Linked DNA regions of Mus musculus: all the other regions are reported to be linked to region 5. Evidence: microRNA targets listed by miRTarBase, many of them from high-throughput screens and not tested one by one. Region 5 holds a microRNA gene; each other region holds the end of a gene's coding sequence.
The links. Region 5 holds the annotated microRNA mmu-miR-1958 (UAGGAAAGUGGAAGCAGUAAGU, at 3,349-3,370, opposite strand). A microRNA usually pairs through its seed, bases 2 to 8, with sites in the 3' UTR of a target mRNA and lowers its output. Matches are read on the target gene's strand: a 7mer-m8 pairs with bases 2 to 8, a 7mer-A1 pairs with bases 2 to 7 and ends in A, and an 8mer does both.

Region 1: miRTarBase lists Braf as a target of mmu-miR-1958. Seed matches in the 3' UTR shown: 7mer-A1 at 1,507-1,513, 7mer-m8 at 4,041-4,047 and 7mer-A1 at 5,284-5,290.
Region 2: the mRNA of Ankrd28 is a reported target of mmu-miR-1958. Seed matches in the 3' UTR shown: 7mer-m8 at 3,030-3,036.
Region 3: miRTarBase lists Ubr1 as a target of mmu-miR-1958. Seed matches in the 3' UTR shown: 7mer-A1 at 3,077-3,083.
Region 4: the mRNA of Zbed4 is a reported target of mmu-miR-1958. Seed matches in the 3' UTR shown: 7mer-A1 at 3,758-3,764.

The regions. Positions count from the first base shown.
Region 1 is chr6:39,605,793-39,611,740 of GRCm38, reverse strand. Braf (Braf transforming gene) reads left to right here. Exons shown (of 22, transcript NM_139294.5): 22 at 1,337-5,948. The coding sequence ends at 1,359. Among named protein-coding and RNA genes, the nearest start is that of Gm34389, 7.8 kb to the left of the region's middle.
Region 2 is chr14:31,697,829-31,703,776 of GRCm38, forward strand. Ankrd28 (ankyrin repeat domain 28) reads right to left here. Exons shown (of 28, transcript NM_001024604.2): 28 at 2,187-4,478. The coding sequence ends at 4,192. Among named protein-coding and RNA genes, the nearest start is that of Btd, 60 kb to the left of the region's middle.
Region 3 is chr2:120,858,327-120,864,274 of GRCm38, reverse strand. It overlaps Ubr1 (ubiquitin protein ligase E3 component n-recognin 1), which reads left to right. Exons shown (of 47, transcript NM_009461.2): 47 at 1,484-4,003. The coding sequence ends at 1,625. AV039307 (expressed sequence AV039307) reads right to left here. Exons shown (of 4, transcript NR_038350.1): 2 at 1,951-2,087; 3 at 857-981. Among named protein-coding and RNA genes, the nearest start is that of AV039307, 11 kb to the right of the region's middle.
Region 4 is chr15:88,782,008-88,787,955 of GRCm38, reverse strand. It overlaps Zbed4 (zinc finger, BED type containing 4), which reads right to left. Exons shown (of 3, transcript NM_181412.3): 3 at 3,440-5,948. The coding sequence ends at 4,719. Among named protein-coding and RNA genes, the nearest start is that of Zbed4, 33 kb to the right of the region's middle.
Region 5 is chr4:48,209,786-48,215,733 of GRCm38, forward strand. It overlaps Mir1958 (microRNA 1958), which reads right to left and starts at 3,430; the gene lies at 3,334-3,430. It overlaps Erp44 (endoplasmic reticulum protein 44), which reads right to left. Exons shown (of 12, transcript NM_029572.3): 7 at 1,865-1,922.

The sequences.
Region 1 (5,948 bases), not on the chromosome of region 5:
GATTATACCCTACTGTTTTGTTCTGGGCCTTTTTATTTATTTATTTTTTAAGTTGTGTGATTTGGAGCAAGTTTCCAGACCACTTAGCAACTTGCCCATCTGAAAAACAGATTCCCTGTACATCCCAGGCTGGCCTGGAACTTGGGATTTCCCTACCAGTACCTGCCAAGTGCTGGGATTATAAGCAGGAACCACTATACCTGGCTTCCTTCTTTGGTCTTTTGGCTCAACAATGCCTTTGTTAGATAATCATTAAAAATAATCCTTGACGGAAAGAGATAATATGACTGTCTGTAGCCCAGTTAGTTGTGTTCAGGCTAGGAAAGCAAACTTTAATGATTAAAATGTGATTAGAGTGCTAAGAAAGATGGCAGGGAGACAAGAGGGTGGCAAGGTCAAGACCATCGTGCTGATCTTCTCAGCATATAAATCTTAGGATTCAGTCCACCAGTCATTAACAGTCTGCTCCATATGAGACATACCAACATTCCCTAGCAACCAGTCCAAATCTGACAGAAATTAAACACTGGAGAGGTTATTCCTAGTAAGAGAAAAATATCAGATGTAATAATATTCAGGAGTCTAAGGCAGAAGGTCATGGGTTCGAGGTCATCTATATAGCAAGATATTCTTTAAAATAAAAAAGTCAATGACAGAACTTACAAAGTCAAGTAGCTGGGGCTACCAATATGACTCAGGTGGTGGATGGGGCATGCCTTTTATCCCGGCACTTGGAGACAGAGGCAGGCAGATCTCTGTAAATTGAGACCAGCCTGGACTACAGAGCTAGTTCCAGGACACCCAAGACCACACAGAGAAACCCCGTCTTTAAAAAAAAAAAAAAAAAAATGAGGCTAGAGAGATGGCTCAGGGGCTGGAGGTTAAAAGCACTGATTGTCTTCCAGAGGTCCTGATTTCAATTCCCAGCAATCACAAGGTGGCTCACAACCATCTGTAATGGGACCTGATGCCGTTTTCTGGTGTGTCTGAAAATAGCACAGTGTACTCATATACAAAAAGTACGTAAATCTTTTAAAAAAAAAAGCAAAAGGAAAGTAGAAAGGTGGCTGTGTGAGGCCTGCCAAGGCTGTGAGTTTGAGGCTGCCCCGCAGCGTGGTACCCAGCTGGGACATTCTCCGTAGCTTGTTATTTTCTTGATGTGGCTGAATTGTTTTTTGTGGATTCCAATGACTCAAGGTTTAAACTAGTGACTTATGTTACAAGGTTTGTAATATATTTAGCTGATCACCTTTCAGTGAGACCCAAATAAGGCTTTTCTGTCTTGAAGTTCTTTCAAGATGACGTTTTAAAATCAGCTCTTGTCCTCCCTCTACAGGAGAATTTGCAGCCTTCAAGTAGCCAGTCCATCATGGCAGCATCTACTCTTTATTTCTTAAGTCTTGTGTTCATACAGTTTGTTAACATCAAAACACAGTTCTGTTCCTCAAAAAATTTTTTAAAGATACAAAATTTTCAATGCATAAGTTCATGTGGAACAGAATGGAATTTCCTATTCAACAAAAGAGGGAAGAATGTTTTAGGAACCAGAATTCTCTGCTGCCCGTGTTTCTTCTTCAACATAACTATCACGTGCATACAAGTCTGCCCATTCCCAAGAAGAAAGAGGAGAGACCCTGAATTCTGCCCTTTTGGTGGTCAGGCATGATGGAAAGAATTTGCTGCTGCAGCTTGGGAAAATTGCTATGGAAAGTCTGCCAGTCGACTTTGCCCTTCTAACCACCAGATCAGCCTGTGGCTGGTCATCTGATGGGGCGATTTCCATCACCAAGCATCGTTCTTGCCTATTCTGGGATTATGTTGTGGAGCACTTTCCCTGTCCAGCACCGTTCATTTCTGAGGGATGGAGTAAATGCAGCATTCCCTTGTGTAGCGCCTGTTCAGTCCTCAGCAGCTGCTGTCACAGCGAAGCTTTTTACAGTTAAGTGGTGGGGGAGAGTTGAGGAGAGCCTGCCTCGGGGCAGAGAAAAGGGGGTGCTGCATCTTCTTCCTCACCTCCAGCTCTCTCACCTCGGGTTGCCTTGCTCACTGGGCTCCGCCTAACCACTCAGGCTGCTCAGTGCTGGCACACATTGCCTTCTTTTCTCATTGGGTCCAGCAATTGAGGAGAGGGTTGGGGGATTGTTTCCTCCTCAATGTAGCAAATTCTCAGGAAAATACAGTCCATATCTTCCTCTCAGCTCTTCCAGTCACCAAATACTTACGTGGCTCCTTTGTCCAGGACATAAAACACCGTGGACAACACCTAATTAAAAGCCTACAAAACTGCTTACTGACAGTTTTGAATGTGAGACACTTGTGTAATTTAAATGTAAGGTACAGGTTTTAATTTCTGAGTTTCTTCTATTTTTATTTAAAAGAAGAAAATAATTTTCAGTTTTAATTGGAATAAATGAGTACTTCCCACAAGACTATATACCCTGAAAATTATATTTTTGTTAATTGTAAACAACTTTTAAAGAATAATTATTATCCTTTTCTCTACCTAAAAATTATGGGGAATCTTAGCATAATGACAATTATTTATACTTTTTAAATAAATGGTACTTGCTGGATCCACACTAACATCTTTGCTAACAATCCCATTGTTTCTTCCAACTTAACTCCTACACTACATCCTACATCCTCTTTCTAGTCTTTTATCTATAATATGCAACCTAAAATAAACGTGGTGGCGTCTCCATTCATTCTCCCTCTTCCTGTTTTCCCCAAGCCTGGTCTTCAAAAGGTTGGGTAATCGGTCCCTGAGCTCCCTAGCTGGCAATGCAACTATTAGGGACATTGGAGTTGCAGGAGAGCAGGAAGCCTGTCCCCAGCTGTTCTTCTAGAACCCTAAATCTTATCTTTGCACAGATCAAAAGTATCACCTCGTCACAGTTCTCCTTAGCCTTTACTTACAGGTAATATAAATAAAAATCACCATAGTAGTAAAGAAAACAACTGGATGGATTGATGACCAGTACCTCTCAGAGCCAGGAATCTTGAATCTCCAGGATTTATACGTGCAAATTTAAGGAGATGTACTTAGCAACTTCAAGCCAAGAACTTCCAAAATACTAGCGAATCTAAAATAAAATGGAATTTTGAGTTATTTTTAAAGTTCAAATTATAATTGATACCACTATGTATTTAAGCCTACTCACAGCAAGTTAGATGGATTTTGCTAAACTCATTGCCAGACTGTGGTGGTGGTGGTGGTAGTGTGCACCTTTAATCCAAGCAACTCAGCAATCAGAATGAGGTAAATCTCTGTGAATACAAGGCCTGCCTAGTCTGCAGCGCTAGTTCCAGGATAGCCAGGGCTACACACACAAAAACCCTCTCTCAAAAAAAACAAAATTAATTAGTTGATAATAAAAAATAACTAAAGTATCATCAAAGGAAGGCCTACTGGAAGTTTTATATATTCCCAGTAAATTGAAAAATATTCTGAAGTTATTAACCAGTTAGCAACAATGTGTTTTTAAGTCTTACATAAACAGAGCAAAGTCTTCAAATGTTTCAGAGCTGAGAAGATAATTGTGCTTGATATGAAAAATAGCCTCTCCATATGATGTGCCACATTGAAAGGCGTCATTACCCTTTTAAATACTTCTTAATGTGGCTTTGTTCCCTTTACCCAGGATTAGCTAGAAAGAGCTAGGTAGGCTTCGGCCACAGTTGCACATTTCGGGCCTGCTGAAGAATGGGAGCTTTGAAGGCTGGCCTTGGTGGAGGAGCCCCTCAGTGCTGGAGGGTGGGGCGTGTACGCAGCATGGAAGTGGTCTAGACAGAGTGCAAAGGGACAGACTTCTTTCTCATTTTAGTATAGGGTGATGTCTCACTTGAAATGAGAAAGTAGAGTTGATATTAAACGAAGCTGTGCCCAGAAACCAGGCTCAGGGTATTGTGAGATTTTCTTTTTAAATAGAGAATATAAAAGATAGAAATAAATATTTAAACCTTCCTTCTTATTTTCTATCAAATAGATTTTTTTTATCATTTGCAAACAACATAAAAAAAGGTTTCTTTTGTGGGGTTTTCTTTCCTTCTTTTTTTTTTTTTTTTTTTTTTAAGACTGCAGATAATCTTGTTGAGCTCCTCGGAAAATACAAGGAAGTCCGTGTTTGTGCAGAGCGCTTTATGAGTAACTGTATAGACAGTGTGGCTGCTTCACTCATCCCAGAGGGCTGCAGCTGTCGGCCCATGAAGTGGCTGCAGTGCCTCGTGAGATCTGCTTTGTTTTGTTTGGAGTGAAGTCTTTGAAAGGTTTGAGTGCAACTATATAGGACTGTTTTTAAATAAGTAGTATTCCTCATGAACTTTCTCATTGTTAAGCTACAGGACCCAAACTCTACCACTAAGATATTATTAACCTCAAAATGTAGTTTATAGAAGGAATTTGCAAATAGAATATCCAGTTCGTACTTATATGCATCTTCAACAAAGATTCTCTGTGACTTGTTGGATTTGGTTCCTGAACAGCCCATTTCTGTATTTGAGGTTAGGAGGGCATAATGAGGCATCCTAAAAGACAATCTGATATAAACTGTATGCTAGATGTATGCTGGTAGGGGAGAAAGCATTCTGTAAAGACATGATTTAAGACTTCAGCTCTGTCAACCAGAAACCTTGTAAATACTTCCTGTCTTGGTGCAGCCCCGCCCCTTTGATCACACGATGTTGTCTTGTGCTTGTCAGACACTGTCAGAGCTGCTGTTCGTCCCTCTGCAGATCTCACCTGTCCCCACTGCACACCCACCTCCTGCCTCTTGCAGACCTCAGCATCTAGCTTTAGTTGGAAACAGTTCAGGGTTCAGGTGACTTCTTAAAAAAAAAAAAAAACCCTACCTCCTCAGAATGAGGTAATGAATAGTTATTTATTTAAAGTATGAAGAGTCAGGAGCGCTCGAACATGAAGGTGATTTAAGATGGTTCCTTTCGTGTGTATTGTAGCTGAGCACTTGTTTTTGTCCTAAAGGGCATTATACATTTAAGCAGTGATTCTGTTTAAAGATGTTTTTCTTTAAAGGTGTAGCTCAGAGTATCTGTTGTTGGAATTGGTGCCAGAGTCTGCTTAATAGATTTCAGAATCCTAAGCTTAAGTCAGTCGCATGAAGTTAAGTAGTTATGGTAACACTTTGCTAGCCATGATATAATTCTACTTTTTAGGAGTAGGTTTGGCAAAACTGTATGCCTTCAAAGTGAGTTGGCCACAGCTTTGTCACATGCACAGATACTCATCTGAAGAGACTGCCCAGCTAAGAGGGCGGAAGGATACCCTTTTTTCCTACGATTCGCTTCTTTGTCCACGTTGGCATTGTTAGTACTAGTTTATCAGCACCTTGACCAGCAGATGTCAACCAATAAGCTATTTTTAAAACCATAGCCAGAGATGGAGAGGTCACTGTGAGTAGAAACAGCAGGACGCTTACAGGAGTGAAATGGTGTAGGGAGGCTCTAGAAAAATATCTTGACAATTTGCCAAATGATCTTACTGTGCCTTCATGATGCAATAAAAAAGCTAACATTTTAGCAGAAATCAGTGATTTACGAAGAGAGTGGCCAGTCTGGTTTAACTCAGCTGGGATAATATTTTTAGAGTGCAATTTAGACTGCGAAGATAAATGCACTAAAGAGTTTATAGCCAATTCACATTTGAAAAATAAGAAAATGGTAAATTTTCAGTGAAATATTTTTTTAAAGCACATAATCCCTAGTGTAGCCAGAAATATTTACCACATAGAGCAGCTAGGCTGAGATACAGTCCAGTGACATTTCTAGAGAAACCTTTTCTACTCCCACGGGCTCCTCAAAGCATGGAAATTTTATACAAAATGTTTGACATTTTAAGATACTGCTGTAGTTTAGTTTTGAAATAGTATGTGCTGAGCAGCAATCATGTACTAACTCAGAGAGAGAAAACAACAACAAATTGTGCATCTGATTTG
Region 2 (5,948 bases), not on the chromosome of region 5:
GGACTGCCTGCAGCTGAAGTCAGGTTTTAAAAATCAAGACTGTGGTCAAAAGTTATTTTGTCTTCCTCCACGTGTTAAATGTTATTAATAGTACCTACCTCATTGGATAGTCATGGGGATTAAGAGATAACATATTTCAAGCATTTACGTCTTTGCCTGGTACATGATCAACAGTGTACTGGCCTTTTCTATTACTGTTACCTGCAGAGATGATTTCAAAGATTATTAAAACTCCTTTATCTGTGGTCCCAAGCAGCTACTAATATTTATCTGTTTTTAATGCCTGTTATCAAAGCTCTGTATAGCTTGTTACGCTCTCATTTCACATAGGAACACCTCGTGTTGAAGAGCACCGTGCCCCCATCTGCCCTCTTCCAAGCACTTCCAAGCTCTTGCACCTAGGAAATCTCGTAGGCCTTCTTCACCTGCTTCAGTCAGACTTGTCCCCAGTGTCCAGGTTCTGCGCTGCCTCCACCATGAAGCCCGCTGCCTTCCTGCTCGCTTAGGTGTCCTGTTCCTGCCTTCCTCGGTGGTGGCTTATCTCAGTCCTATTTATCACTTTTTGCTTACATGATGAAACCGTCAGCCGTTAAAGGACACCACCACCATTCTGCCCACTGATACTCAAGTACATAGCAGGTAAGAAACATATACTTGTTGAGTTAATACATGTGAAAGATTCATTTTGGTAAGTACAAAAGTCTAAAATAACTACTAAGAAGCCACTGAGTTCTTAAAGGACAAAAATCAGAGCTGGGGATGGAGGCACATACCTGTAGGTGATGCAGCACCTAGACGTGGAGTAGGAACACTCAGGAATTCATTCTAGGCTGTAGGAAACACACTAACAACCTGCAAAAAACTTGTCTAAAAACCTGCTGTAACTTAACACATTTTAAAGAAAAAAGTTCTTTATATGTAAAAAAGAAAGACACTTGATTTTTTACATTAAAAATTTTTATTTCATTTAAAAGATCCAATATTTGAAGCCAAATTAACCCCAAATTTACAGCTACATTTAGAGATCTCTGAACTAAATGGCACTGTTTGAGGTCACCTGTCATCGTTATCTCCCCCAAAGTTGTTTCTGAGCAAAAGCTGGTATTTCTGTAACACATATCTTAGATGTCACCTTTCTCACAGAAATTAAAGGCCGACAGACTTTCCCCTTGTGGGCGAGGATAAATACACAACCGACCCACCAGGACCAATGCTTTGTGCACACTATAGGTGTATGTAACTATAAAGTAACGTATGGCGCTATGCTGTGCTCCTGTATTTATTCCAAATACTGGTGTTAGTCAACACTTTCTGGGATAGTACTTCAAAATTTCCCTCTTCCAGTGCACACCAAAGGAAGTGGGTTGCTCAAGCTAGAGACAAACTACCACAAAGGAACAGCTTTTCTAGTCGGCTGGTAACAGCACAAACCACCTCCCGAGTGTTTTACTTAAAGTGATGCAGGATCTTGGTCTCTACATACATATGAGGATAAATTAAAAGATGAGTTTGTTACTTTATAGCTACACATTTGACTTCAATAGATGTGCAGACAATGTGTCTAATGAGTCCATCTGGAAATCACTTCAGCCTGTGAAAGAGAAGACATGGCAGAGGGTGGAAAGTCATCCTTCCAGCATTCCCTTGGAGGACAGAGCTGGGCCCAAGGACAGAAGTTACCAGGAGGGAGGCTTCAGCTCCATTAAGGAGACCTTCCTAACAGAGCTGCTCAACAATGAATGGACTGCTCGTGAGGTAGTCACTGGAAGTGTTCAAGGTGGAAAGACAACCTTGGAGAAGGGACTCCTGCATTTAAGAGGTTAGACTGGATGGACCTCAGGTCTCTTTCAATTCTGAGATTCTAGAAAATTCCCTCAGGGAATTCAGAAGAGAATTCCTAAAAGGAAAGAGAAAGCACACATATGGTATACTTTTAGAATCCTCTTGAGTTTTCTTTTTTAAAAGGTACAATAGAAATGTAGTCTACGGTCTTTTAAAATGCATATTTACCCTTCTCCCACTATTAATTACGAAGGGTTCATTACGACTCCTTTATATTATAAAGAAAAGATGGAGATTATATTTATAATTTTGCAAATATTTTAGAAAAATGCTTAAAATCTAGTAGTCAATGCCCTAGAAACTTTATAGATTTTTAAGTAATATGCACAGATACAAATACATTATTCATTAAATACAGCTCACGTCTGTGTTTTATTATACTCTAAAATATACAGGAATCTTGATGTACTGAAAGAGTGCAAGTAAATACAGGATTCAAGCAGTCACTATTTCTATGTACATGCTCATTAATTCTTCAAAAAACCCACAAAATTATCAAATAGATCAAAATACTGTTCTGTGTTTTCACACTTTATATTCAGAAAAACCAGCTGATAATTTACAATGTCATAAAGTTCCAGTTTCACAATACAAAAAGGGTAAGATGGAATTGGGTATCATTTTGTTGCAATGTATGGAACTTTACCCAGCTCTAGTAAGACCCCTCCCCCCAATGTAAAATCATTGTTACTGGGAAAGTGACAGTTACAATAAAAGAACCACAGAAAAGTGTAATTTAAAATTAGCCTACTGTCAGCCTCTTCTCTGTTACCTGAAAGGCAGTCTTCAATTTGGCAGGCAAGCTCTGACAGTAAGAAGCTGCACACCCGCTACTCTAGATCTCAGGAGGACCTAAAGCCTGAAGTATTTTAAATCTTGCCCAGTACAGAAATGCCTTCCAAATGACCTGATTCTGTTTATGTTATGAGTCATCATCTAAAGCAAACTCCAATGCTTCTGAGAAGGAAGCCAAATGGTTTGATGTTGATTTTTATAAAGAAAACATCTGAAGCCAGGCAGTGGTGGTGCACACCTTTAATCCCAGCACTTAGGAAGCTGAGACAGGTGAATCTCTGTGAGATCGAGGCCAGCCTGGTCTACAAAGCAAACTCTAGTACAGCCAGGGCTACACATAGAGAGCCCTGTCTTAAAACAACAAACGACTACAACAACAACAACAACAACAAAGGAAAGGATGCATTCAAGAACCTTCCAGTGCTGTGAGGACGCAGGAGAGGAAGCAGGTACATTTTTAAGTATTTTCTTTTACATAAAACATTTACAATCCCAGTTTGTATAGAATTCACAACCAGCTTTCGACAATGTTTCATAACAAGAGTCTTCAAACTTTTTAAAATTTTGATTCTTGTTTTTAAAGTTCAAAGATTAAAATAAATGACAATAGAATTCCTCCAGCCAAAAAAGGTAGAGGTCCCAAAGTAACTAACGTGATGCAGGTGTGCCGCGCACAGAGAGGCTCAGATGTCCCTTCTCCAGGACCGCTGCATTACAAGAGGTGAAATAGTCTGTTTTTTAAATTCATTAAAAATTTCCTCTATGGAATTCCTTAAACAAAAACAATTCAATTTAAAAGCAAACCACTCAATCGTGGGCAACAGCCCTGACTTCATCTGCGTCTGTCTCTAGTACTTTCAACCACGCTGCACCCAGTTAACTGGTTCTGAAGTCTATAAAAAGTGGAATTTAAAAACTTTTATATTAAAAAATGTAAAAATACATCTGCTTCCTCTCATGGCTTAATACAGTAGATGCTTTCTTATAAAAACCAACACCAAACCGAATCTGGCCTCACTTTCAGAAGCACTGAAGTTTGCTTTAGACGACTTCTCATTTCATCTATTTCCGTTTCCACAAAATGGAGTTCTAATAAAAAAATCTGTATGTTATTTGGTCCTTGGCAATTTGATGTGTACATAATGCCTATTATACCAAACTTTTATTGCATTAAAATTTAGCTGTAATTTTATGGGTAAAATTTAATCTAGTGTTTTGATCTCTTTCTTTACAGCAGTGTTGCCCATGTAAGCAGGTCAGGGAGCAGTGTCCCAATTTCTGGCACTGCAAAGCCAATTAAACGATCCCACAAAGCAATCGACATCACTGTGTTTTCCACTGGTCAAGTCATTATTAAGATTCTAGAAGTTCCTTTTGCAAAACTTGCCTTTAAGACTCTTCTTCCTAATGTCATCATGTTTCTTCCATTCGTTCACTGCATGATCTTTCTTCAGGTTGAATCTGTGTATGATAAGAAAGTGCCTTTTTCCCGAAAAAGCCCGATTTGAAGTTTCAGTGTCAGAACTTCCTTAGAGCTGCAGCTCACTCGGCCTTTCAGTAGGTCTCGGAGTCAGAGTCGTTGAGCTCATCCACGTCGGTGTACAAGTACTCCTGCTCGCCACCAATGTTGTTAAAACTGCAGTAGGAGCTGGCTTCATTCCTCATGATAGGCAAGGCTTCAAAGCTAACTGTTTTTGAGGTGTTGGTATAACGGTTAATGGCATTGAATGTCAGGGATGTCAATGGGCTACTTGACGAGACAGGCATCATGGTGGCCAAAATGAGAGCCAGGCAGTCAGCCACATCCTTATTGGGAGCACAGGCCAAAGCTGGGGTGTAGCCTATAATTGAATTTAAAATTTAAAAGTTAACATCCCAAGATCTTCCATCTTCACACACAGATTTGATGGCTTACAGCAGATACTTTGAGTAGATAAATTCACAACTGTCTAGTAAGCAGGAAGAGGTACAATGCTAAGAATGTGAGGTAGAAGGAGAGCTTTCACACTAAGTAACAGAAGCGGGAACTAAAGCCTCACAATGGGTACTTCCCCCAACATCTCTGGGTTGGAGATGGGTAAGATGGAGCACTCTTAGAATAAAGGGAAGAAAAAAACCCCAAGAAACGCACATCAGCCGATCCCCTTTAGAACAGTGAGTCGAGGCTTACTGTAATTCACACCTGTCTAAGTTAACTTCTACATGGTGACCATCTAAACATGGAAGCATATGAATTAAACACAAGGAGATGATCACTAACTACATACCAACTGAATTACAGAAGTCAGAATTTTGGTGTGCTTGTGGGCCTCCGACGTGGACGATGGCTCAGTGGGTAAAGTACCTTGTAAGCATGAGAACCTGAGCACAGTCCTGGACCCCTCTTAAAGAAGCCAGGCGGGCTGGTATGCACTTAAAATTCCACTGCTGAAAGAGCGAGTTCCCAGAACCCACTGGGTAGATACAGCCTTGTGAGAAAATGATAAACTAAACAAAGCGTTAAAAGCTCAGAATTCCAGACAAGTATTTCCTTTCAACTTAGCCAAAAAATTTCCTCAAATATAAAGAGCCCCAAGCATCAATGGGAAAGCCATGGATAACGCATGTGGTACCTTGGTTGGCAAAGCACTAACCTTGTGGCTGAGATGGGAGAGAGGATGGTAAACATCCTACTGTGACGGCAAGTTCCAACTATCCCACATCAAGTTTGGGTTGCCCTTGTTTTAAGCCATGGGCAGCCAAAAGGCGCTAATGTTATAGATGTCTTGAAATTTTAGACTAGCTTTACTGTTGCTCTATTTTTCATATTACTGTGCTCATGTTTTAGCAGTCACATAATACGTACTTTAAAAGACATAACTTGTTTTAAAATAGGATGATTTATCACAGACCAAATATTGATATAGCCACCAGCCGGATACCACAAACACTGCATGTCTTTTCCTCCTCCACAGTGTAACCACTATCCTGACCTTTTCTTTCTGTGGTAACAAATTCCTTGTTGCCCAGTTTTTTAAACCAATAAATGGAAGCATATAGTATACATATTTAAAATTTGACTTCTTTTGATTAATTATGTGAGACCTAATATTGTCACAGGTAACTATAGTCAGGTAACTTTCATTGCTGTATAGTATTTCAATATATGATCATATCACAGTATATACATCTAATTACTGGGCATTTGTTTTTCTACCACTTCCATCTTCTAATACTCAGAAACTATCAGTAAACATAGACAACAAAGACGATCCTCTGCTCTTACGGAGCGCATATTCATTCTCATGGAAGAGTCACTTCAACATGAAAAA
Region 3 (5,948 bases), not on the chromosome of region 5:
TTTATTTGCTTTATTGTATGTGTATATTAATAGTTCTTTAAACGTAAACTCTAGAAATAGAGTTACTGATGTTTGTGAGCTGCCATTTGGATGCTGGGAACTGAACCTTGGTCCTCTGACAGTCGTTAGTATCTTAACCACTGAGCCCACTTTCTAGCACCTGGGCCTGGTGAGACAGTGAGACAGGTTCCCTGATGCTAGGAGGCTGAGTAGCTGGTCAGTACCACATGTTATCAACTTTTTATGTAGGTTTGGGGCCTTGAACTCAGGCCCCTCAGGTTTGCATGGCAGGCACTTGACTGACAGAGTTCTCTCCCAAACTTTATTATTCTTTTAAAATATCATCCAGAAGAATAGACTCACTAGATAGGGCTTGGGCTCTAATGGATTATATAGGGATTTGTTTTTATCGAGACAGCATTTGACTTGCCTTTAAGTTTAAGAGGAAGGTACTGAGTGGTCAAAGTAGTTAATGCTGGTCAGGGTGGAGGTCACTTTTAATTCCAGTACACAAGAGGCAAGTGCAGGTGAGTCTCTGAATTTAAGATTCATCAGATCTGAATAGTGGCCAGCCAGGGCCACATGGTGAGAGTTTATCTCAAAAACAAAACCAATAGCAACAACAAAATAGTTAATAACTGAGGATAATCTTGAGTTGTTCTAGAAAAGTACAAAAATGTGGAACTTTTAAGTTAATGATAAACAGTGTGAAAGTTGACAAGTTGCTGAGACATCTGATGTTCCAGGGACTGAGATGCCAGGTATCGCTATGACTGTACTCAACAGACTTCAGACTTTTTGTGTTAGCTGGCACAGTGTTGCAAACTAGGTAACCCTGGAATAGAAATGTACTTACTTAAACATTTGCTAAGCCAGGTATGATGATGCACATCTATACGGAGTTCTTGCTACCTGGGAGGATGAAGCAGGAAGGTCACTGGAGTATCACTGTTCACACCCAGCCTGGACACTGTAACAAGACTGAGAAAAAAACACAAACAAAAACCAAGAAAGTGTTCACCAAGCATGTGCAAGATGAATCATAGGGAAGGTTATAAAACAAAGTATTTCTGAGGAGAAGAATGATTTAAGGTCTTAGTGTTATGCCTCAAACCTAACCTCCTACACAAAATCATAAACTGAAGCTGGGTAAATTGTGAGGACAGAAAGCCATTAGAACCTCATTCAGCTATCCACCAGAAAAGACCAGAGCTGCTTCAAGTTAGAACCTGTTTAAATGAGGTCTCATTATGTTCATTATGTATGAGACCTGATTTCCCAAATAGTCTATTTCTGCTTCCTTAACTAAGTGGTGTGCCAAGTTCTTAGTAATCAGTGAAGAGTTGCCCTGTTTCTGGGCCTCGTCCTGATGCTTGCGCTCATAGCTGCAGGGATGTCTTGGTAGTGTGTACTGATTTAAGACTAGAGATGGCACTGTTAAAGCTTAGATGTCAGCTTTGTTTTTTTTTTTTTTTTCCTGAAGGAGAGGAAACCCACTTCATTTATCTCGGGAGCGGTATCGGAAGCTGCATTTGGTCTGGCAACAGCACTGCATTATAGAAGAGATTGCTCGGAGCCAGGAGACTAATCAGATGCTATTTGGATTCAACTGGCAGTTACTCTGAGCTCCAGTTCTGCCTCAAGACAATCATGAGTGACATCAATAATAAAGACTGATCTAAAATTCTAGAGAACTTTCTGAGGACGGGGAAGTATTGGAGGGTCTTTTGATCCATGTCCAGATTCACACACATTAATAAAATATTCCTTAATGGAATATTGCTTTCAATTATCAAACATAAGCTTCAAGGGAAAAACAAGACATAGATTAATGTTTTATGTTCTAGAACACTAAAGAAATGCTTGTTCATCCAAGTGTCTATTTCTGCTAATATTTCCAGAAAACTCCTTTCCCTTCATAACTGTCCTAGTTCATTTCATATCACCCACCTGGTTAATGAGGTCACATTAAGCATTTGTGGACATTTCTCCATCTGGCTAACATCTCTGCACCTTTGTATTTGGTGTTTCTCGAGTGTAGTTTAGCTTGGGTTAGATCTGAAAAGATGCTGATCACCTGTGATGGTCTAAAGAGGAATTGCACAACTATGCAGTTTCTTTCAATTAAAAATTTCAAAACATGTAAACATCTTTCTTCTTTAAGGAAATATCCTTATTGTACCACCTACGGCTTCAGTCAGAAACAGATCTAAATCTCTCTATGGAGAGTGCTAGCTGTGCTAGTCTGGAAAGCATCCTTCCAGTATAGACCTCAAGTAGATTCAGGAGAATGTGCTCATTACGCATTCCTTATACAAAAGCCTGTTATCCTCACCTGATTCCAGGGAGCTCTGTGGAGTCACAAGTTCTCCATCAGTTACATTTCTTAAGGCAGATTTCTGCAGTAAGATCTCGTCTCTTGGGGCCCCATCCTATTGTCTCTCAGAAAACTCTTGTTTTGAAGCAAACTCTTTGTAGAATGGGAATCAGAAAATTGCCCCAGTGAATGGTCATAAGAGATGAAATTAGAACACTGTATTTAAGCCAGTTCTGCAACCTTCTATGGCTTGTAAGAAACAGGTCCTTGATTTGATGTCTAGGTGAAACCTTTCATAAACGACTGTTTATGATTAATATAAACAACAATAACAAAAAAGCAACGTAATCAGGTGTGTGTCCTGTTATAACCTGCTGTGGTTGAGCCATCTTGCGTATAAATAATGCAGCTCTCCTGAGTCTGTGCATAGACCTCTTGATTCTTGGCTTTACCGTTTTATATCAAGACCTTGTGAGTAGATCAGTTGATACTTATTTTAGCTTTTGTGGTATTGGGTAATATTGCAGTTGAAAGATGTGTTTGGAGATTGTCTCTTCCTTTGCCCTTGGCTACTGCTGCCATGTGTGTGTCTAAGTGTTTTCCTGCCTTCTGTTTAGTGAAGACCAGGAAGTAAAAATACATTTGATAAGTGATCAGTGATGCACATTTGGGGCTAAATTTGTTGCCATTTTTATGGAATGAAAAGTGGGTTTTGCAGTAAGAAATTGGTGTGAGCAGGCACCAGACTCACAATCATGATTTCCTACTTGGATAAATACTACTCAGAAGAAAGCAGGAACTAGATGCAACTATAATGAACAGTTCACAGCAATTATAAGAGACAAAAATCAATAAATTCAGTATTTGGCTTGTGCCATTTGCCAATATGATTAAGAAATTTGAACATTGCCCTTTGTTTTTTCTATAATTTTTTTTTGAGAGATTGTTTAGCTCTGAAATCTGGGCTAGAATAGGCAACATAAGATGCTCATTTCTGCCTTAGTCATCTGGCCCCCATTTGCCAAGGATAAAGACTTTATTTTTAGCCTTCTTAGATTCAATTTGTAAACCCTGGAGCTAAGCTTTCAAGCTGCTAGGAGGACTAGCTAGCACTAGCCAAAGAGCCTAATTCATCACTCAGTTCTGCTTCTTGAGATGGAAGTTTCTGCACTGGAGGTAGACTTAGGTCACAGTGCTGCCCCAGCCCACGGGATCTTTAATAGTATTCATCATGACAAATGATTTAAGTCTGCTAAGAAGTTTACTTAAGCAACCAAGTCACTTTATGTAGTGTAGTGTATGAAAGAATTGGTTTAGTGGGATGGCTCTGACTCTGTGTTTTTAATATTGGTGAGGGGCTGGCAAGGATTTTAATGATACAGTAAAGATAAACATATATCTGTATAATTAATTTATTCTGTTAGTGTATGGGCTGTGAGTTCACCTTTTAGTGGTCATTTGTCATTTCATAACAACTATGCATTTTGGTTCACTGTGATGATGATCTATATTTAGTGACTGCAACATGTTTATACCACTGATTCAAATTCCATTCATGATGAAGTTATACAGATGATGCATATATTGATATCTTTTATTGCAAAAATGTAAATTAAAAACTTGTATAATGTTCTTGTGCTTTTTTGAAATAAAATATCTTATATGTGTATATTTAAAAAGAAAAAAGGGACTTCTCATGTTTGGGCATTTGGGTTTGAAGTATAAAAACCTTACCTAGAAAAGAGCTCTACTTAAAAGTATGTAAGTTCGGCCATGTTTTGTTTGTTTGTTTTAGGCAGAGTCTCTTGGGCTCATGCTGTGCTCAAACTCATGACATAGCTGAGGCTGGCCTTGAACTCCTGATCTTTCTGCCTCCATCTCTGAAGAACTGGAATTATAGGCATATGTCACCACACCCAGGTTAAAGTTTTTTCAAGACACAGACTTTTAGGGTTAATGGTCTCCAAACTTTTTGACTATACATTCCATCACCATATGTAGATTTACATACATTCTTTGCATGTAGTGTTCTATGCCTACATTAAACACATTTTATGACATAGTACAAAACTGGAAGGTTTTAATTCAGTCTTTTGCCCCATTGTCATAATTAAGCTCTCAAAGGTATAAAATATAAAGATTCTCAAAGCTGCAAGAGAAAAGAAACAAGCATAAAGAGTCTCTGTTTATCTGATGGCAAACTTCTCAGAAATCTTATAAGCAAAGAGAAAGTACTTAAGATGTACATAGTACTGACAGGGGGAAAATCAGCCAAGATAAAGCTAGCCTTCAGGATTGAAAAAGAAAAAAGAGACTTTGGGGCTAAGAATTTAGGTCAAGTAGACCACCTTCCTAGTATGCATAAGACCTGGGTTTGATTCCCAGCACCACAAGAAAAGAAAGATACTAACTCACAGGCAAGAGTGACTGTACAGATAAAGTCAGAATGTTCTAGTATTGTAAAACAGTAGGCCAACCACTATTAAACAATAAGAAGATTTAAAAAAAATTCTACATTAAAAAAAAAAAAGATTCTATAAGCCAAGGAAAGTGGGTAGTTTGTTCCTGGCAGACCCAATGACTAAGGAGTCTGAGGCAGAAAGATTGCTTGAGCCTATCAGTTTGGAGACCAGCCTCCATAACATAGTTATGTTTCTGAAAAGAAAATAATGGCATATGAGAGTGTCTTGCTTTTTCTATTGCTGTGATAAAAATACACTGATAAAAAGCAACTTTAGAAAATAGTTTATTTTGGCTCCCAGTTAAAAGTAGCAAGAGCTTAAGTAGCTTGTCACATTGTATCTGCAGAAAGTATGAAGCAACCAATTCCTGGGCTCAGCTCACTTTGTCCTTTTTTGTATAGGCTAGTATCTCAGCTCAGGTATGGTCTGTCCCTCTCACCATAGTGGATAGGTCTTCCTGTTTCAACTAAGCCAATCAAGCCAATCGCCCAGAAGTTCATCTCCCAGGTAATTCTAGATCTCACCAAGCTGACAATTGAGATTAACCATTGCATACAAGTCAAATAGGAAGATAGGAAATGAAGCATTTAAAGTTCAGTGAGGAAGAGTGATCTCAAAAGTGTAGGGTTTGTTGTTTAATGTAGTTTTCCTTTCCTCGAGTTATACTGCTGTCATACAGATTGGTTTGTTATAACCAAACTCTGAGGTTTTTTTAAGCCTATAGTAACCATAAAGCAAAAGTCTAAAGTAGACGAACAGAAAATAGTAAGCGATCAAAACATGACTGGAGTAAATCATTTAGCCAAAAGGAAAAGTCTAAGAGAGAAAGAAAAGAACTCAAAACTTTAAGATATGTTACATAATTGCTTACCACCAAATAGCTAACCAGTGAAATGAAACGAGTTCTACAAGACAGAGTGATTAACTTGAATGAAAAAACTATACCCAAGTTACGTTGCTTATAAGGACATGGTTTGACTTCACCTTTAATAGGGCACACGGGGGACCAGAGAGAGCTGGTAAAGGCACGGGCCACCAAGTCTGACAACCTGAGCTCCATCCCCAGACCACACATGGTAGAGAAGTAGAACAAGGTAGAAAAGACCATTTGTTAAATGCTCATTTGGTGATTTATTAAAGCACTGCTGGCACTGCCTGTTTGCCAAGCA
Region 4 (5,948 bases), not on the chromosome of region 5:
AACAAAAAATAAGAATAGTATTAATATAGTAAAAAATATTAAAATGACAAGAATGAGCATTTTTGGGGGGTCTTTGATATTGAAATCTGCAGCACAGCAAAGGGGAGATGTTAGTTACATTGTAGCTGAGTGACACTCAGTCTGGTGATGTGAATTAGCCATGAGTTAGGCAAGAGGAAGATCAGCTCATCAAGTCTTGAGTTCAAGTTACAAGTACCCTTTGTGTGTGCCGTGAGCCACATTCAGCTTGTGGGCTGGGCAGGATCTACTTAACTCTCCTGGGCAAACCAGAAAGGAACACAGGGTTGTTCTTTCAAAGGGACACATACCTGTTATCCACACAGAAGGCTGGGAACAGACAGCTTACTAATCTTAGAACCTTTCTGTATAGATGATGGCTCATGTATTTAACCTGTAGAACCATCTTTATGGAAGATGTCATATGTACTTACTGTGCTGGCTAGTTTTATGTCAACTTGACACAAGCTAGAATAATCTGAAAGGAGGAAAACTCAGTGGAGAAAATGTTTCTGTAAGATCAGGCTGTAAAAGCCAGTGGTGGTGGTGGCGGCATGTAGCTTGAATTTCCAGCATGGGGGAGGCAGAAGCAAGCAGATCTCTGAGTGAATCCAGGACAGCCAGGTCTACACAGAGAAGCCCTGTCCAAAAAAGATCAGGCTGCAAGGCCTTTTCTTAGTGATTGATCAGGGAGAGCCCAGCCCATTGTGAGTGGTGCCATCCCTGGGCTGGTGGTCCTGGGTTCTATAAGAAAGCAGACTGAGCAAGTCCAGAGAAACAAGTCAGTAAGCAGCACCACTTCCTGGCCTCTGCATTAATTCCTGCCTCCAGATTTCTGCATTGCTTGTGTTTCTGATCAGACTTCCTTCAATGACAGACTACAGTAAGTCAAATAAACCCTTTCCCCCCTAATTTGGTCATGGTGTTTATCACAGTAATAGTAACCCTAACTAGGATGCCCATTCCAGGTAGACAGGAGGAATTCAGGAACAACCTGCCCAAAATGTCATCTGGAGGCAGGAAAACAAACAACTCAGAAGGTAAGTCAAGGTAGGATGATGGAGGGGCTGGTGAGATGGCTCAGTGGGTAAGAGCACCCGACTGCTCTTCCGAAGGTCAGGAGTTCAAATCCCAGCAACCACATGGTGGCTCACAACCATCCATAACGAGATCTGACTCCCTCTTCTGGAGTGTCTGAGGACAGCTACAGTGTACTTTAAATAAATAAATAAATCTTTAAAAAAAAAAAAAGGTAGGATGATGGAGAATGAACACATTTATTCTCAATATACCTATAACCTACCACCCAAATACCTGTCTGTGTAAGTCTATGCCATAAGAACTAGGCCTGTTCTCTTGCAGGGCTACCAGCAACTTTAGACAGAGATATAGCTCAGCTGTGTCCTTAGTGATGAGGGTGCCTGGTATCAAAAATACATTCATCACCTGTCAATAGAATATTAAGAGTTGCCACACCAACCCCAGTAGAATCTGTGTGACAAGTTCCACAGACTGAGGCGGTAGACTTCAAAAGGAGGAGGTCTCCTGGAACTCTTGGCCAGAGCAAAATATTGGGCCGTAGTTCTCACGGCAATCCATGTTTTGTTTTCTCCTATTCCTGTTCTTACTTACATGTTGCTTGTAGCCTAGGCCAAGATCTTAAGTGAGAATAATGGGTAAGAAACCATCCCTTGAGATGGGGACACTAACATGACCTTATCTTTGAGGAAACCAATGCTTTACTTTATAAATCATTTATAAAATTATACAATAGTATTATGACAGATTAAAAACTTTCCCAACAATAAAATTTCATATGGCTACATGTGTGTCATCAGTGTTGGGCTTTGGTATATGGTAAAGAAATCCTTAAAAAGAATATAGTTTAAATTTATGCATTGAAGATTAAAAAAAATCAGGTATTAGATGGTAAATAATAATTGACCATAAGGATTTATTATCCTGCTCTTGGAAATCTGCCCCTAGCCTTGGATGGCTGCCCCACTGAATACATCCTTTCAGAGTTGTTACACTTGGATGATTTCTGATAATCATGTCACCTGTTCTGTTTGTGATTCACTTAGTGCATCTTTTCTGAGTTGTAATGTTTGTTTGTTTTTTGTGCTTTACTGTGCCAAGTGATAATGATGGTATTTGTGGTTGCTTCACTGAACACATCTTCTAAGAGTTGTAATATTTGTTCTTTTAATGTATCTTTCCCCCTGCTTGAGAGCTGCAAAATACACTCAAACTGCCTCTGTGTTTCTGTTTGTTACTGCCAAAACTTTACCTACCTAGCTTTGAGAACCCTCATTCCAGGGACCCCCGTACCCGACTGTGGTAATCTGTGGCACAGAGTAATGGTGCTTCCAATGTCAGTTGTAATATTTCTGCTGAGACAAACAAGCACTTTTTTTTTTTAAATCTTTTTATATCCTGTGACTTGAGCATTTAAACTAGAATATGGTAGTGTGATGCTGAAAATTTACAGGGACAGAATGGCAGGTGGGGGCCTGGGGATGTAAGTAGTTAAGTTGCCTAGCATGTAGCAAACTGTTGGCTCTATTTTCAGCAATGCATAGAAGCAAGCACGGTAACATACCCTGTCATCTCAGCACCTGGGAGGCAGGGGAACAAGTTTAAGTTCATTCTCATCCTTGACTACACAGTGAATTGGCAGCCAGTCTGGGCTACATGAGATCCTGCCTCAAAAAGAAAAACTGAAAGCAAAGGAAAGAAACAGATAGCAAGTGCTGTGGATAGGGCTCAGCAACATCTGCTCAACTATCATTTCTTTGCTCCTATCTACAACTAACCCTTCCCATGTCAGGAGTGCTGGCCGGGGATAGAGCACTGTGTGGACTGTGAAACTCAAGTCCAGGTCAAATGCTCCAGGGCTCTCCAGAAATAGGCTGGTGCCCAGGGGTAAATATGCACAGGCATCAGGTAAGAAAGGATATGCTGACAGGGTATGCAGAGGTGCTAGGAAGTTCTAACCACCACTACCATCATCAAAAATGGAACTGTTAGGAATACTGCCTCTACTCCCCAGGGTCCTACCTGTGACTATATTCACATTTCTTCTTCTTCTTCTTCTTTTTTTTTTTTTTTTTTTTTTTTGCATGACCCCAGTCAATTCTGAGACTGAAGGATGTATGGACATTTCAAACACTGTTTGAATGCAGTTTGTATGTATTAACACATAAAAAGCATTCCTGAGCCAGGCGGTGGTGGCGCACGCCTTTGATCCCAGCACTTGGGAGGCAGAGGCAGGTGGATTTCTGAGTTCGAAGCCAGCCTGGACTACAGAGTGAGTTCCAGGACAGCCAGAGCTGCACAGAGAAACCCTGTCTCGAAAAACAAAACAAAACAAAAAAAAAGCATTTTATCCTAAAAATAAAAAGCCATCATCAGTCAGCAATAGAAAATCGCAAATAAAAAGTTTAATTTCAGAATCCAGGTTCGTCATTTATAAATACACTAAAGCACAGTCCAGGCAAACTCAGACCGAGCCCACACAGTATTTCAACACAACATTTGTTTTCTAAAAGGTCAGAGGCAATGAGTGATTTGTTTCACCCAGAATATTTAACTGATTTGAAATGAGAAAATGAAAAACTTTTTCTTTTAGACATAAGCAAAAACTTTGGAGTCTGGTAAAGAGTCTGATAGCTGATACTTCATGTTGGTATCCTTGGGACTCTATAATGTCCCAGTGATGGTTGAGGCTTCCCTATCATAGGAAAAAAAAAAATCTAAATGCCTAAGGCTTTTCTCATGACTGCAATAAACAAGCGCTTTCCCTGTCGACAAGCTACCTCCTCAAAGTAGAATCTGAGCGCTATCTGGTCAAACTGAGGGGTCAGTGCATACTTCTTATGAGATAGCTTTATTGTATAGAGATGCAAAAAGTAAACCAGAGGCATGGAGATTGGATCAGCAGGCCATCTGTTGTAAACGTGTCATATCATGCTCTGGTGAAGTCCTAAGCATGACTTTAAAACCTGGATCCAATTTCAAGGGGCTCATGATAAGTGGGATATCTCTGAGTTAACTGACCGTGTAAAACCTGAATGCAACACCTGACATGGGACCATTCTCATGACCAATTAGCCATGTGATTGACACTCCATGATATGCCCAAGTTCAGTTTTGTTTTCAAATGCCTGGTTCTGTAAACAGCTTCCAGAATATTCTCTCTAGGACATACTTTTGGAGCCTGTGGTTAAGAACTGTTCAGTCAGGATGGCTTAACCTCCACCTCCTATTTACAGGTTTCATTTAACAGCCACAAAAGCTGTTTTGTTGCAATTAAAATATTTAATTAAAATACAGCACCTGATTTGTGGTTTTTACACAACTGAATAAAAACCCTACATAATAAAATTGTTTACATCTTCCTTTCATTCTAGTAAAACAGATTACTATCCCCTCAAAACAAAACAAAAAACCTTTATAGTTTTAAACCTGATCATCCTATTTCATAATTGCCAAGACTGTTTCTAGTGGGCTTCTGAAAACGCACCTTGACACCTGGCCTGAAGGAGGAGTAAGGCACATGTGGATATTATGGTGAGAACTGGCAGGTAGCCCCAGATGCCTGGTCTGGTGTCCTACATGGCCCTGCCAGGCAAGTCAGCCCTGGTACAATAGCTAGCACTCTGAAGCACGTTTCCAGTCTGGTGGCTCCATCTCTGAGTTCAATACTGAAAGCATATTAAAGGAAGATTCACTTTTAAAAAGATGAGCTTTTCAAAATGCTCCATCATGAGCCTGGGCTGGCCAAAGCTGCCAGCATCCATGGGTGTGCTGAACAGCTTTTCTGAGGGGACTGTACTTGGGGGACATCCCAGAAATCGAACTGCTAAGGTAGACAGCCCAGGCCACGATGACCGCTTTAGGTTCCAGTAGGTGAGTGGGTCACAGCTGTGTTCCAGCACCTCTTCCTCCAAATACGCAAGCACCATGTCTTCAGGTAGCTTCTCTCTCTGATCTCTCTTTATCGGTGCGAGTGACCACAGGCTCTCCTCTGTGCCAGTGTCTTTAAGTGGGGACCCTGAGTCACAGCCATTGGAGGTGGCAGTGTCCTCTGAGGTAGAATTCAGTATTTCTAGCTCCCTGATTAAGTCTTGCCTGTACTGCTCTGCCTCCTCCTCTGTGAACAGGGAAGCTTTGTAGCGAGGGTCCAGCAGTGTGGCAAAGATGTACCTGGGGTCATGGAGTGTGGCAGACAGGCGGCTTGCCATGGCTTCCTTCAGGGACTTAAGCATGGTGTCAATGCCCATGGTCTCCCCAAACAGCATCTCCACTTTTCTGCTGAGGATGTGGATCATGGGGATGACCTGGCTCAGCGTAGACATGTGGGCACTCATCTCTCGGCTTGCAGCATCAAATGGTCTCAGCACATGGCACACAGACTGCATGACCTCCCACTGGTCACAGCTGATCAATTCTCTGAAGTTACACTCAATGGATACCTCATTAACTGCCCTCTTCTGCTCAATCAGACGTTCGAGCATGTGGAACGATGTGCTCCACTTAGACGGTACATCCTGGATCAGCTGGTGCTGTGGCAGCTCGTACTCTTTCTGCAGTTCTGCTAACTTCTCTCTTGCTCTGGGTGACCGATGGACCCGCTCACACAGCTTCCGGGCAATACTCAGTAAGTTCTGCACCATCCTCTGGCTCTTGATAGCCTCGCTCACAATCAGATTCACTGTGTGACTGAAGCACTGCACACTTGAGTGTTCACCCTCACTCAGCATCTTCCCTATGCTTGGATTGTCAGTGACAGTGATGCCAATCTGAAGGCCAATGGAAGTCACCCAGGCTTCCCACCAACACTCCAGCTGCTTCTGAATGCTATTTCCACTATAGTCACAGTCGATTTGTGAGACATCTAAAAGTGCTGAGCAATGGTGGTCCTCACA
Region 5 (5,948 bases):
ATTATGTTGTGACACAGTTTGGGGAGCCTTCTGAGTAACAGAAGGAACAAGCCAGTCTTAGATTCTGAGCGTCAGAACTGTGAGCAAAAGAAGCCTCTTTTCTTAAGCACTCTACTCCAGATATGGTGCAGCAATAGAAAAATGGATTAAAATAGTATCTGAATTAGGACTAGAAAATGACCTTTAAAAGTAATGGTAAATTATTTCTCTACATAAAAAAAATCTAGTATCAAAACATTATAGGCACATTAAAATTATATAGATAAAATCTTGGCCTGGCATGATGATATATGCCTTGAATCCCAGAACTTGGGAGGCCAAAGCAGGTGGAACTATGTGAGTCTGAGGCCAGCCCAGTCTACATAGTGAGTTCCAGGACAGCCAGAGGCACATAATAGAGACCCCGTCTCAAAATATAAAAAAATAAATACAAAATACAATAACAACAAACCTCAAACCTAACTATGACCTAGAAAAAAAAATTCATTCTATCTTTGGGATGTGAAACATTCATGGTGATTATCTTTATGTCAATTTAAGAAAACATAGTGCAAATTTTGCCTTAGTTGTTCCTACCATTATTCAGGCCTACCCAACTATTTCATGTTTAAACACGCTTACAAATAATTTAGTCAAAAGGAGAACCTAGCAATGCTATTCTGTTCAATGGACAGAGTATTAAACCGACTCTCAACAGCATCAATTTACACCCACAGATTCATGTATCTCAGCTCTCAGCAGAGAGATTTCTACTTGCAGTAGATGGTGATTGGAATAGAGAGCCACAACTGGCAAAGGTGCAGAATATAAGAAACTATTTCTTAGGGAATGCTAAGCCTGAAAAAAAGCATATATCCCACACTCCTCTCAAGGTTCAGGGATCATTGCAGAAGAGGGGGCAGAAAGGCTGTTAATGACAAAATGGGAACAGTGTCTGTGGTGACAGCAGGGCTGCTGCACTCACGAACTCACAGCAGCAGTGACCGCATACGCATGCAACACTGTATAAGCCCACAGCAGACCAAATCCAACATGGAGAAGAGAGCTGGGCACACAATTCCTCTCCTATCAGTTGAGTGATTAGCAACACACAGCTACAGGGAGAGGAAGGATAGCCAGCGTTCCGCTAGGGGGTAGGCCCTGGTAAGTCAATCTCACTCTACTAGAAAGCTACATACCTAAGAGTGTTATTTATTTAAGTACTGCAAGTTGGTCTTGATGGAGGGGTAGATCTGGGAAGAGTTGGGGGAGGGGAGTGAATATGACACACTTGTATGAAATTCTCCTAGAGAATTGATTTAAAAAAAAAAAAACAATTTAGCCAAGTTTAAAACAATCTAGGTGCTTTTACTGTCAAGAAGCTAATTTATGCCCCAGCAGGTTTGGAGTTACAGGCACAATACAAGTGGTGACAAACATTTGGCTCTCAGACTGAATGCAACAGAGACAGGGAGAGAAGTCAGGGGCCTGCACTGTCACTGCAGGCCTGTACCTTCGGGATTCTGTGAACACTGCGTCACTCTGAAATACGGATTACTAGACCATGATGGTTTCAAAGTCACATCATTCAGTCATGGCAGGACAAGCCTTTCATCCCCACCTCTCTGGAGGCTGAGGCAGAAGGATCTCAAGTTCAAGGCAAGCCTGGCACCTTAGTGAGACGCTGACTCAAACACAGTAAGGGGCCAGAATGTAGAAGTGTCGGAGCACTTGCCTGGCATACACAAGCCTTTGGTTCAATCCCTAGTACTTAAAAAGTTAAGAATTCATCAATGATTCTTCCAGCATTTAAAACAAAGCTATTGCTTATATTATAATTGTATTAACTATGGTGTCTTAAGCAGTCTGTAAAACAGAAACTCACCCCGGGTGGTTTGTAGATTACATTGTCTCCGTTGTACCTTTCTGGTTTTGAAAGATCTCTAATAAGAGGGAAAAAAAAATAATGTGTTAGGGAAAACACTAAAAACAATGTACTTTAATAAAACAGACTTCATAATCATTGCAGTGCATGAATTATAAAAACATGAAATATATTCTTGTTCATTATCTGTCCCATCCACAAAACTGTACAATAGCAAGACAAGCATACATTTAAAGGCAAACTAAGATGAAACAGACTTTTTAAAATAATGTTTCAGTCAGCCACTTTGGTATTAGAATTTATAAGTCTGGATTGGCAGGGTCAGCATGATAGCAATTTTGACTATATATTGATTTTCATCTATAGATTAAGCACATTAATTTGTCCACAGAGATCAATAAAATATATTAACTTTATACTTCTTACTTTTTAAACTTGCAAATTCTAAAATGATATTGAATTGAGATAATCTACATCATAGAAAGTTTTTGGAAAGCATGTCTGTACACTTGGACACTTGCCATTTCCTAGGCCTAGTACAGTATCTGGCATGCAAATATGTGGTCTTGTATAACAAATAGTTACCTAGTACAATAACTATTTGGTGAGAGAGTCCTACAGAAAACCCTAGGTCAAATGAGTAAGTTTCTCTTCCTGTACATAACTTGAGGATTAAATAAACACCGACACATCTTCAATCTCTAAGGAAGCAAGTGGTGCTAACCTAGACGGAGAGTGGAATATAAGGAAGGAGCTCTAGTAGGGAACTGTGAGACACAGGTGCTACGAAGAGGGAAATGGGAAAAGGGAAGAGGGGATGGAGGGCAATACTGAGAAAGAGCCAACAGGAAGAGGGAGAGGACACTGAGACGTCTAAAAGCTGTAGGAAACATTATCTTATGTTTGCTTAAGAGCCAATATACTTTTATATGTACATAAATATATGTGTGTATATATGAAGTCCTAATGAAATTATACCACTGGGTGTGATGCTCTCTCCAAAAGCCATAACTATCTAACAAAAACTCCGTTTGTCAGGCTTGGAACACCTTCCTTCTAGTTGTTGATAGGAGTTGAGTTGAGAGAGGACCTAAATAATATGGGCTTCTGTCTTTGGTTGCTCCTTAGAACTTCAAAGGATGATCCTGTTGCTGAAGACACTATACTTTAGATACAGGTCTTGGAGGAATCAAGCTGCAACTGACCTAAAAGCCCCCTCCCTGAGGACCTGCTCTCACAGTACCCGAAGGTGCTATGTAATCGCCAAGGGAGGATGCAACAGCCCCACCTAGCTATAAAGCCTACAAACCACACAATACCAAGCAAGGCAAGACATCCCCAAGTGTGTAACAGCGGCATCTACTCCCTAGTAAACAAAGCTGTATAACTAGACTTACGACCTGCATAATAGGAAGGAATCTATGTTTTGTACTGCAACCTAGCCAGCTATCCACAGCTGGTGAGGTCACGGAACCTAGAAGAGAACTTACTGCTTCCACTTTCCTATAGAATGCAGTTAGAAATTAAACTATAGGAAAGTGGAAGCAGTAAGTTCTCTTCTAGGCTCATCACTAAGACCATTACAGAAATCCACAACTGGTTAAAATTCAGAAAAAAACTGGCCATGAAGTACCAAAGCTAGTTGATACATCTCCAATACAACCCCTACACTAAAGTAGCTCACTGAACACAGTATAAGAAGGGGGCAGAAAGACTGCAAGAGCCCGAGGACTTGGAAGCTCTGTTGGGTGACTGTGTCTTCTTACATGGCAGGGAAGCTGTACCCATGAAATCTCAACAATATGTCTGCATAAACAAGACTTGCACAATGGCAACATCAATTGACACTGCAACATGAATGGAGAAATATCACAAGGCTCCACCCTAGAAGAAGACTAAAGGCAATTGATTGACGGCTGTTGAGAGAGGAAGGATGAGCCTTTGCTAGGATGAGCTCACTGGCACGTTATCTAGTCTCAAGTGGTCGTCCCTAAACAAATACACATAAAATGGATTCAGCAAGATGTATGTGTTTGTGTGTAGATATATGTATATGTGTATATGTATTTATACATATATATATATATATATATGGAACAATAATTAAAGAAGCAGAGGTTGTGAATTTGAGAGGGAGTAGAGGGACAGGAGGAGTTGGTAGGAGAAGGCTGGGTAGAAATGTAAACGCAGCAGTCATGTGTGATAGTCTAAGAAATTGGAATTAAATAAGTGGGTCACAGAAAAAATGAAATCAAAGCAGACGTCAATGATATAGAAACAAAGAAAATATAACAGATCAGTTACTCTAATAGCTGGTTCTTTGCAATGATAAGCAAGATCTACAGACTCTTGGCCCACTTAACCAGAAGAAAGAAAGCAATAACCCAAGTTAACAGAATCAGAAATGAGCAGGGAACATTACATCAGATATCAAAGAAATACAGAATATTAAAAGGGAATACTTTTTAAAACTCTACTTCATTAAGTTGCAAAATATGAAAAAAATAGATGAATATTTTGATTCATCCAAAATATTAAAATTAAACCAAGATGACACCAATAACCAAAAGAGACCCACAAGAAAGGAGTTAATTGAAACTGTAATAAACTTCTAAGTCTAAAAGGCCCAGTCCAGGTGGATTCAAAGCAGACATCTATCAGACTTTCAAGAGAGAGCTATAACCAACGTTTCCTAAATTCTGCAAAAAAAACCAAAAAACAAAACAAAACAAAAAACAGAAACAGAAGGAAAACTCCAAAACTTTGTCTTTGAAGCCAGTATTATTCTAATACTCAAATCAGATGAAGATACAACAAACAAACAAACAAAAAATACAGACTGTTATCCCTGAGAAACAGAGAGTTTTACCCTCAATGAGTATCAGGAAACTGGATATAAACTTATCACGAAGATTATCCACCATGATCAAGGTGGCTTTATCCTGGAAATTCAGAGTTGGTTCAACATCCATTAAGTCAGTAAGTGTAATAAATCACATAAATGGACTTAAAGATCAAAAAAAAAAAAAAAACTCACATGACCATCTCAATAGATGCAGGAAAAAAAAAAAATCTTTGACACACTACAACATGTTTTCACGATAAAAGTCCTAGAGGCCAGGACTGGAGGAAAAACATATATAGATAATAAAAGCTATATATGGCAAACCTACAACCAATATTATTCTAAATAAAGAAACATTGAGTAATCCCATTAAAATTAAGAGCAAAACAGAGCTGCCCACTACTCAACCACTCCCTTGCAATACTGAGCTATAAGCACTTAGATGGATCAATAGACAAAAAAAAAAAAAAAAAAAAAGAAAAGAAAAGAAAAGAAAATTACAGGTATGCTGTGGGAAGCGGGTGCGGCTGCATGGGCCAAGATGGCGCCCTGGCCCATTGCCAGATCCCATGAAACCCACATGTTTACTACCTTGCTGGAACATGCGCAGTGAAACTGCATGCGTAAGCTGCCTGCCAAGTTAGATTATTCCTCGTGATCCGGATCTGTCAGCCTATCTGTGGCCGACCTGAGCTCGTGCCTAGAGCGTGTGTGATTCCAATTGGATGAGGTGGTGTGGAGCGAGATGAGGTCAGTTGCCACTACTGTATAAATATAGCCCCTGCCTTAAGTAAAGAGAAAGCTGCAAAAAGCTGCAAGTAAGAAGGAAGCTGTGGAGCTGCACGAACCCGTCTTGGTGTCTGTGTCGTTCTTGTCTCTGCGGGTTGGAGACAGTGGCAGTATACTAATAAGAAAAGGAGGAGCCAAATTGTCTCTATTTAGATATCCCCAAAAATTAAATGTCTAGAAATAGTCAACAATTTCAGAAAAGTGGCATAGTGTACAATCAGTAGCTTTTCTCTAGACCAAGAGAGAGATCATTAGCACACTTCCAATTAACAGCATCAAATACAACAACATATCCTGGAATAACACCAAACCAAGGAGGTAAAAGACCTCTACAATGAAAACCTCAAATCTCTGAAGAATTGAGAAAGATGTAGTGTTCATGGATTAGCGGAATTAATATTGTGAAAATGACCATCCTACCAAAAGCAATTTACAGATTCAATGCAAACC